Callithrix jacchus: one gene and its partner. The protein of the gene in region 2 purifies or fractionates together with the protein of the main gene of each other region. This does not show direct contact. Links are inferred from orthologs where the notes say so. Each region holds a gene or a part of one and is shown on either strand. Other genes may lie near its edges.

Region 1 (2,961 bases), on a different chromosome or scaffold from region 2:
CAGGACAACAGAGGGAAAGACACTTTCTGGAAAGGTGACTAAAAGGCATCTTGCAAAAGGTCCATATCACTGAAGTGGAAGGACTGGAGCCCAGTGCCTTGTGGCCTTCATTAACTTGACTCCTCTTCCTCTTTGGTTGCAGTGGCTTCAGAGGGAGCTGTTTCTGGTACTTGTTCTGCTGGCTTCTTCTTTTCTTCCTCTTCCTCATCCTCATCCTCTTGGGGATAGAGGTCTGGGTATTTCTGCATGCATTCCTGCATGGCCCGGAACTGGTCTACACAGTCTGACCCCTTGATCTCCTCCTTGCTATAGTGGAAGCAGGAAAAGGCCGACTTGAACTGTTCCCCACAGGGGCCGCTGGCCATTCCCCCAAGGCATGGGCAGTTCCAGTTAATGTTTCCATTTGGCAGTATCAATCCTGGAACAGGAAGATAAGCAAGGACAATGTGAGAGATGTTCTGTAATGTTTCAGAAAATACAAAACTGGTCCAGTCCTCGCAGGCTACTCAGCTGGTGCAGAACAACAGGAGCCATCGTTCCTATGGACCCATACCTCAATCTGGATTCAGTTGAAATGCCTAGCACATATCCAGCACTCCTTGGCCCAGCTAGGAGAGAAGCCATCAAGGACATGTTTCTCCATGTGTGACACTAAACTATTCTAAGCCACCTCCCAGTACTCTGAGGCTGTGCTCCAAGAATTAAATACGGGGAACCATTTAACCCAAAGAGACGATCACTTGGATGGTTAGTGAAGAGCTTTTTGAAAGCCCACTTTAAGGAACTGAGGTACTAATCTTCTCTTTCTAATCCCCTCCCCATATGGATGATTGGGACCACCTTACCCCCAAGCTCCCTGCCCCTTGAGCCCCTCTTGCCTTGCAGCTGCTCTCAGAAGCTCAGCGTAGTGTGGGGACTGGTGAAAAGGCAGAGGTTGCTCCTTATGTACTGACGAGGAAAGATGTCTAACACATGCTGCACAATGAGAAGCTGGTGGCATACGATTAGTGCGAGTGCATTGTAAAAAATCAAACTGTTAAACTGCACATGTGTGTGGGAAGGGAGCAAGGTTATAGATGAGTTTTCATTCTCACTATTAATAGGCCTCTTTTGACTTTCATAGCTTTTCTCATCATTGAACTTTATTCACATCTAAATAGTATTTCTTTGTTTTCCAAAATGCTATCAAAATGATGGCTTCATTTTCAGCTTTGTGACAGACACAGATATATGATTCATATAGAAGCTTCTTACATGAGTCTTACCAAGAACCTGAAAGCACTTTCTAAGAGGCCTCTAAAACGTCCTGTAAATTACACATGATTCTTCACTCCAGGGCAGTACCCAGGCCTGGCACTCTGCACTAATGTCCAAAGTCCTAGGTGAAACCCCAGCTGCCTCTCAATTCCAGCTTGGGAAGCTCCACTGATCAATGGACCTGCTGTAACTATTCCTGTACCTTATTTGTGAAATGGGGATAGCAAGGGCGATGCCAACTAGTGCTGCCCCCTTAGCAGGCAGCAGACCCCCAGGACCAGTAGCGGTTGCAGATCAAGTTCTCCTGCATTGTGTACTACTAACCCCAGTTTACACACAGTTTCTGGGGCTCATGGTCCACGTTAGGACTGCAGACTAGGCCGGCAGAGCCCATATCCCTTCCTCTACATCTCACCACTTCTTCTTGACAGGGACCTCAGTGGTGGAAAAACATTTGTAAATGCTGCCCCCTGGAGGTTCAAATCTGCTCACAAACCTGCACAACCAGTTTCCAAAAGAGAGAATAGGGACATTTAAAAATTGTAACCCAAAAGGTGGATCCAAGACGGCCAAATAGGAACAGCTCTGGAGTGCAGTTCCCAGCGAAAACAACACAGAGTCTGGATCTACTCGGGTATGAAGGGCCATACCCGAGTAGATCCAGACTCTTCAGCTGGGGCTACCCTCCTAGCAGCCCATTTTATTTCCCAGTCAGCACCAGATATTAGAAAAAAACTAAAGAAGGCAGAGGAGGGCCTCCAAACTCCCATATGAGACCTGGTAAACATGGCATTTAAAGTTTTTAATGGCGGAGAGGAAAAAGCTGAGGCCACCCACCAGGCCCAGCTACAGCAACAGGTGAGCCTCCAAACCCAAGCTCTTGTAGCGGCTCTGAGGCTGGCAACTCACCAAGCATCTGGTGTAAGGGACCTGTCAAAGGCCCCCCAAAAGGGTCCCTCAGGACTCTCTGGACCCACCCAGACTGCTTCAAAGGTCCCACCCAGGCCCTGTTTCAAGTGCAGCCAGGAGGGCCACTGGCCCTGGGACCCTGTCCTACCTGCAAATGGATTGGACACTAGAAAGTAGACTGCCCATCCCAGACTATAGGCTCACCCCCTGCACCTCCATGTGAGAGGCAGGCCAGTCCAAAAGATGCAGTCCCTTCGTTTGAACTCCTCAGCCTCATAGACGACTGATGTGGCCCAGACTTGGAGACCCCTATCGCCCTTCTGAGCTCAAAGTAATGCTATAGGTAGCAGGTAAGTCCATTTCCTTCTTGGTGGACACGGGGGCTACCTATTCTGTGTTGCCTTCTTACTCAAGACCTAACACACCTTCCCAAGTGTCAGATATGTGAATTGATAGAAAGCCCTCCTGCCCCAACCAGACTCCTCCCTTAGCCTGTAACCTTGAGGGGCACCCAATCTCTCACTCCTTCCTGATCATGCCTTCATGCCCAGTTCCCCTACTAGGGCGGGACATCCTCCAAACTCTAGGGGGTCACCCTCCAACACACTGGCCCCTCACAGCCAACCTCATCCCCCACACATCTTCTAGCACTAACCCTAACTGGTAATGCACCTGGTCATAACCCTTCACCTCAACCCCCTATCCCTCCTGAGGTAGTTAGCCCCTCAGTATAAGATACCTCCAAGCCTGTAGTGGCCACACATCACACGCCAGTTAAAATATTTCTCAAAAACC
Region 2 (4,539 bases):
CCATCTCTGGGGGAAAAAAAAAATACACCACAAAAATAAAACCATAATAATAATAAACAAATTAAAATTAAAAAAAGTCATTGCAGGAACCAAAGTTTGTAACCCAAGCCTGGACCTGAAGAGCAAGTGATAAGAAGCATGGGTCCCCTAGAGGAAGGATGTCCAGAAGAAAAGGGAGGATGCTGGGATGGATGGGTCCCCTAGGAAGAGGCAAGAGGTGAGTGACTAGAGGTGTGGGGCCAGGGAAAGGTCCTGCTTACCCAGGTAGTTCTGCCAGCAGTTCCTGGTCTGGTTCTGGTTGGGAAAGCGGCTGTCAAAAGGGGCAGTCTTGTAGTTCTTAAGTTTGGCCTTCATCTCTTCTGCCATGGTGCTGAATCCTGGAGATGAAAGGAGTGGGTGTTGGCAGGGGCCCCGAGCAAGTCAGACTACCCAGGATCAATGGAAGAGAGGAGGCACTGAAGAATGGTGGGGGTGTGAACAAGTTCCTGCCTCTCAACATATATGCAGAGATGAGGGGCAGGGCGCTCCACACATCTGTGCGTGGAAGTTGTGGCAGCATTAGGGTGCGACTCCTCAGCAAAATCAAGCCTGGTTCCCAAATAACATGAGCTAACACTGAATGCTTACTACATGCCAGGTGCTGTTCTACACACCTGACTCCTACGGCTGCTCTAAAAGTAGGAACGTAGGAACTATTACTATCACCACTGCCCAGACGAGGAAGGAACAGGGTGTCTAAGTGACTTCCTAAGGTTATCTGGCATAAAAATAAATGGTGGGCTACCTCCATTTTTGGCATAATCTACACTGCAAAGGTTCTTAATCTTTTTGGTGCCACAGACTCCTCAGTGGTCTCACGAATCCCATAAACCTCTCACTGAATATGTTTTTTTTTTTTTTTGAGACAGACCCTTGTTCTGTTGCCCAGGCTGGAGTGCAGTGATGCGATCTAGGCTCACTGCAACCTTTGCCTCCCAGGTTCAAGCAATTCTGTTGCCGCAGCCTCCTGAATAGCTGAGATTACAGGTGCCCACCACCACACCCAGCTACTTTTTTTGCATTTGAGTAGAGACGAGGTTTCACCATGTTGGTCAGACTGGTCTCGAACTTCTGACCTGAGATGATCCACCCACCTTGGCCTCCCAAAGTGCTGGGATTACAGGCGCGAGCCACCAAACCTGGCCTGAATATGTTTAAATGTATTACAACATTGCATAGGTTCCATGAGTACATGAAGAAGTTAAAAAAAAAAAACAAAAAACTGGAATAGTATCACAAAGAAAACCAGTTATATCCAGCTGAGGATTCATTAAGAAATACAATTCTGGCCAGGTGCGGTGGCTCATGCCTATAATCGTAACACTTTGGGAGGCCAAACCAGGTGGATCACCTAAGATCAAGAGTTCAAGACCAGACCGGCCAACATGGTGAAATCCTGTCTCTACTAAAAATACAAAAATTAGCCAGGTGTGGTGGTGGGTGCCTGTAATCCCAGCTATTTGGGAGGCTGAGGCAGGAAAATCGCTTGAACCTAGGAGGTGGAGGTTGCAGTGAGCTGAGATTACACCATTGCACTCCAGTCTGGGTGACAGAGCAAGACCCCCTGCAACCTCACTCAAGTAACCATGAGTGGATATAGTATTTTGTGACATCTGCATTTATAATGTGATATAAGAATATCTGTGATTTTAGGTGGGGCACTGTGGCTCACACCTACAATCCCAACACTTTGGGACGCTGAGGTAGGAGTATCACTTGAGCGCAGGAGTTCAAGACCAGCTTGTGAAACCCCATCTCTACAAAAAAATAGTAAAATTAGCCAGGTGTGGTGGCGCATGCCTGTGGTCCCAGCTACTGAGGTAGGATCGTTTGCACGGGGATGCAGAGGTTACGGTGAGCCAAGATTTCTCCACTGCATGCCAGCCTGGGTACACAGAGACCTTCTCAAAAAAGGAGAAAAAAATATCTATGGTTTTGATTGCTAACAAAATCACAGCTGCTGCTAGTACTAACGAGGTTGTTGCCTCAAAAGGTTAATACACAGATAGAATTCCACCCCCTCACCCCAATTCAAATACTGGGGTAATTCCACACAGTCACCCCAATTCAAATACATTCCTGGAATTCTTCCAACTCTGCAGACCGAGGGTTAAAAATCTTTAATATAATGTCTCTGAAGAAGTGACACATAATGTTCGTCGGGAACCTGAAAGTGTCTATATTCGAGGGAATCCCAGGAGTCGTGGGGCTATACAGAAACCTGCAGAGCAGCGTCAAATTCAAGCGATGCAAAGTGGTGGTGGGGGTCTGGAGCACTAAAACGGTCTTTCGATGGGGAGGTGGGGTGTATGTAAAACACCACCGCTGGGGCACAGATGCAATCAGAAGGATGGTTACCGGCGATATCTCGAGCCGGTATCTGAGGATGAGGGTGCTTCGGAGGTGACGCTGCGGCCCCTCCCACGTCCAAAAGGGAGGATTGACAGAACACCAGGGAGTCAGGCTGCAGCCCAGGTAAGCCGCGGGAGGCCACGCCCCTGAATTTGCGATGAACCCTGGAGGACAAACTCCTGGGCCAAATCCTGGTCGCGTGTAGGCTCGGCTAGGTCCCTTGGTATCTCCAAACCTGTTTACTGTCAAAAGGGGATGATCCCAGGCCTGTCTTAGAACTCTCTGGTGGGAGAGTTAAATGAATAATTTAAGTTGTTTGGGATGTTGCCTTGCATCAAGGAAGAACTCCTGTTATATCACTGTTAGTTCTTACGAAGAACAGAACAACAGGGTCCCGGGGCCCAGGGAGGCTGGACGCCGCCAGCCAGAAGCCTCAACCCGTTCTCGGGGAAGCTAGGGTTCAGATCCTCAGCCCGTTAGGCTGGGGTTCCAGGTTCCAGAACCCTTCACACTCACCTAAAAGCACCCCCGATGCACCTTGCAGCTCAATGTGACCCTCTGCAAAGACTCCAGAGTCGGACAGGAACCGGAACTAAGGCCAGCCGGAAGCTGAGCGAGATGGGGTATAGGGGAGTCTTCCGGACGGCTAGAGCTCCCGCCCAGGAGGTGGCCAACGACGCCATTCAGGTCACGCCCAGCAAGAGAACTACGACTTTCTATTGGGCTGAATGCTTGTTTATTATCACTCCTGGCCCAGTCGTGAGCTTGCGCGGCTGGGGCTCGGACGCCCAGGTGTTTATCACCTCCGGGTCTTCACTCGGAGAATGCGTTGCAGATCCCGGGATGCGCTGGAGGGTCGGTGTGGGGAAAAATGTCTCAGCAAAAGTACTTTAATTCATGCAATAATTATTTATTGAACGCTTTTCTGCGTCAGGTACTTCTTTTCTTTTTAAAAAATTTCTTTTTTTTTGGTGCCGTGACTCGGAATTCTTTTTTTTTTTTTTTTTAATTTTATGACAGGGTCTTAGTCTGTGGCCCAGGCTGGAGGGCAGTGGTGCGAACTCGGCTCACTGCAACCTCCGCCTCCCGGCTTCAAGCGATTCTCCACCTCAGCCTCCCGAATAGCTGGGACTACAGGTGCCCACCACCACGCTCGGCTAATTTTTGTATTTTTTAGTAGAGACGGGGTTTCACCACGTGGGTCCAGCTGGTCTCGAACTCCTGACCAGCCTGTCTCTTTTGTTGTTGTTGCAGAAAGGTGATTTTATTCAAGGAGAGAAAAGAGAAAAAAGAAGAGAGAAAACTTCCACGAAGAGTGTGGAAGGGAAATCCAGGAGGGGGAAAGAGAGCTCCTACTATGTGGGAGGGGATTCCAGACAGCTGGAAATCCCCAGCCTGTCTCCCCCCCCCCAAAAAAAAAGCTTGGATCTACGAAGGGTCTGGCAGAAATGGTTCCCTTTGGGAAAATGACTAACTCTGTGCTTCTGGCCACAGAATAGTCCTTGACTCTCTGATCCTTCTCATACCGGATAGCTGACCTAGAAATCCTGTTGGTTTTTCCTGCAAGTATATCCATATCTTCCTCTAGCCCATTTGGTTCAAGCCACCATCACCTTCAGACTGGACTGTTGCAGTAGCACACTCCCTGGCCTCCTGGCTTCCAGCTGCCTTCTGCAATATGCCCACCCCGCCAGAGGAATACTGGTCTGACTCTTAGTCTAAAGCCAATGTCCTAATAAATGATCTACATAATTTTTTCTTTCTTTCTTTTCTTCCTCCCTTTCTTCCTTTTTTCTTCTTTCTCTTCTTTCCTTTATTTTCTTTCTTTCTTTTTGGACTGAATCTCGCTCTGTTGCCCAGGCTGGAGTGCAGTGGCACAATCTCGGCTCACTACAACCTCCACCTTCTAGGTTCAAGCGATTCTCCTGCTTTGGTCTCCCCAGTAACTGGGATTATAGTCATGCGCCACCACACCCAGCTAAGTTTTGTATTTTTAGTAGAGACAGGGTTTTTCCATGTTGCTCAGGCTTGTCTACAACTCCTGGCCTCAAGCCATTGTGCTGCTTCAACCTCCCAAAATGCTGTGATTACAGGTGTGAGCCACTATGCCTGGCCCACATTGATAGTTTTTAGCAGTGGTGTGAGATC

Evidence for each region.
Region 1: the proteins of COX6B1 (region 2) and CHCHD4 purify together in Homo sapiens (co-immunoprecipitation; 3 studies listed by BioGRID and IntAct, with this or other methods). This does not show direct contact. The link is inferred for Callithrix jacchus from reciprocal best matches to the Homo sapiens genes COX6B1 and CHCHD4.

Annotation. Positions count from the first base shown.
Region 1 is NC_133516.1:71,077,931-71,080,891, forward strand, and holds part of CHCHD4 (mitochondrial intermembrane space import and assembly protein 40), read right to left. Parts: intron 419-2,961; coding exon 111-418; 3' UTR 1-110.
Region 2 is NC_133523.1:31,848,894-31,853,432, reverse strand, and holds the start of COX6B1 (cytochrome c oxidase subunit 6B1), read right to left. Parts: upstream 2,986-4,539; 5' UTR 2,908-2,985; intron 378-2,907; 5' UTR 367-377; coding exon 261-366; intron 1-260. UniProt on the Homo sapiens protein: Component of the cytochrome c oxidase, the last enzyme in the mitochondrial electron transport chain which drives oxidative phosphorylation.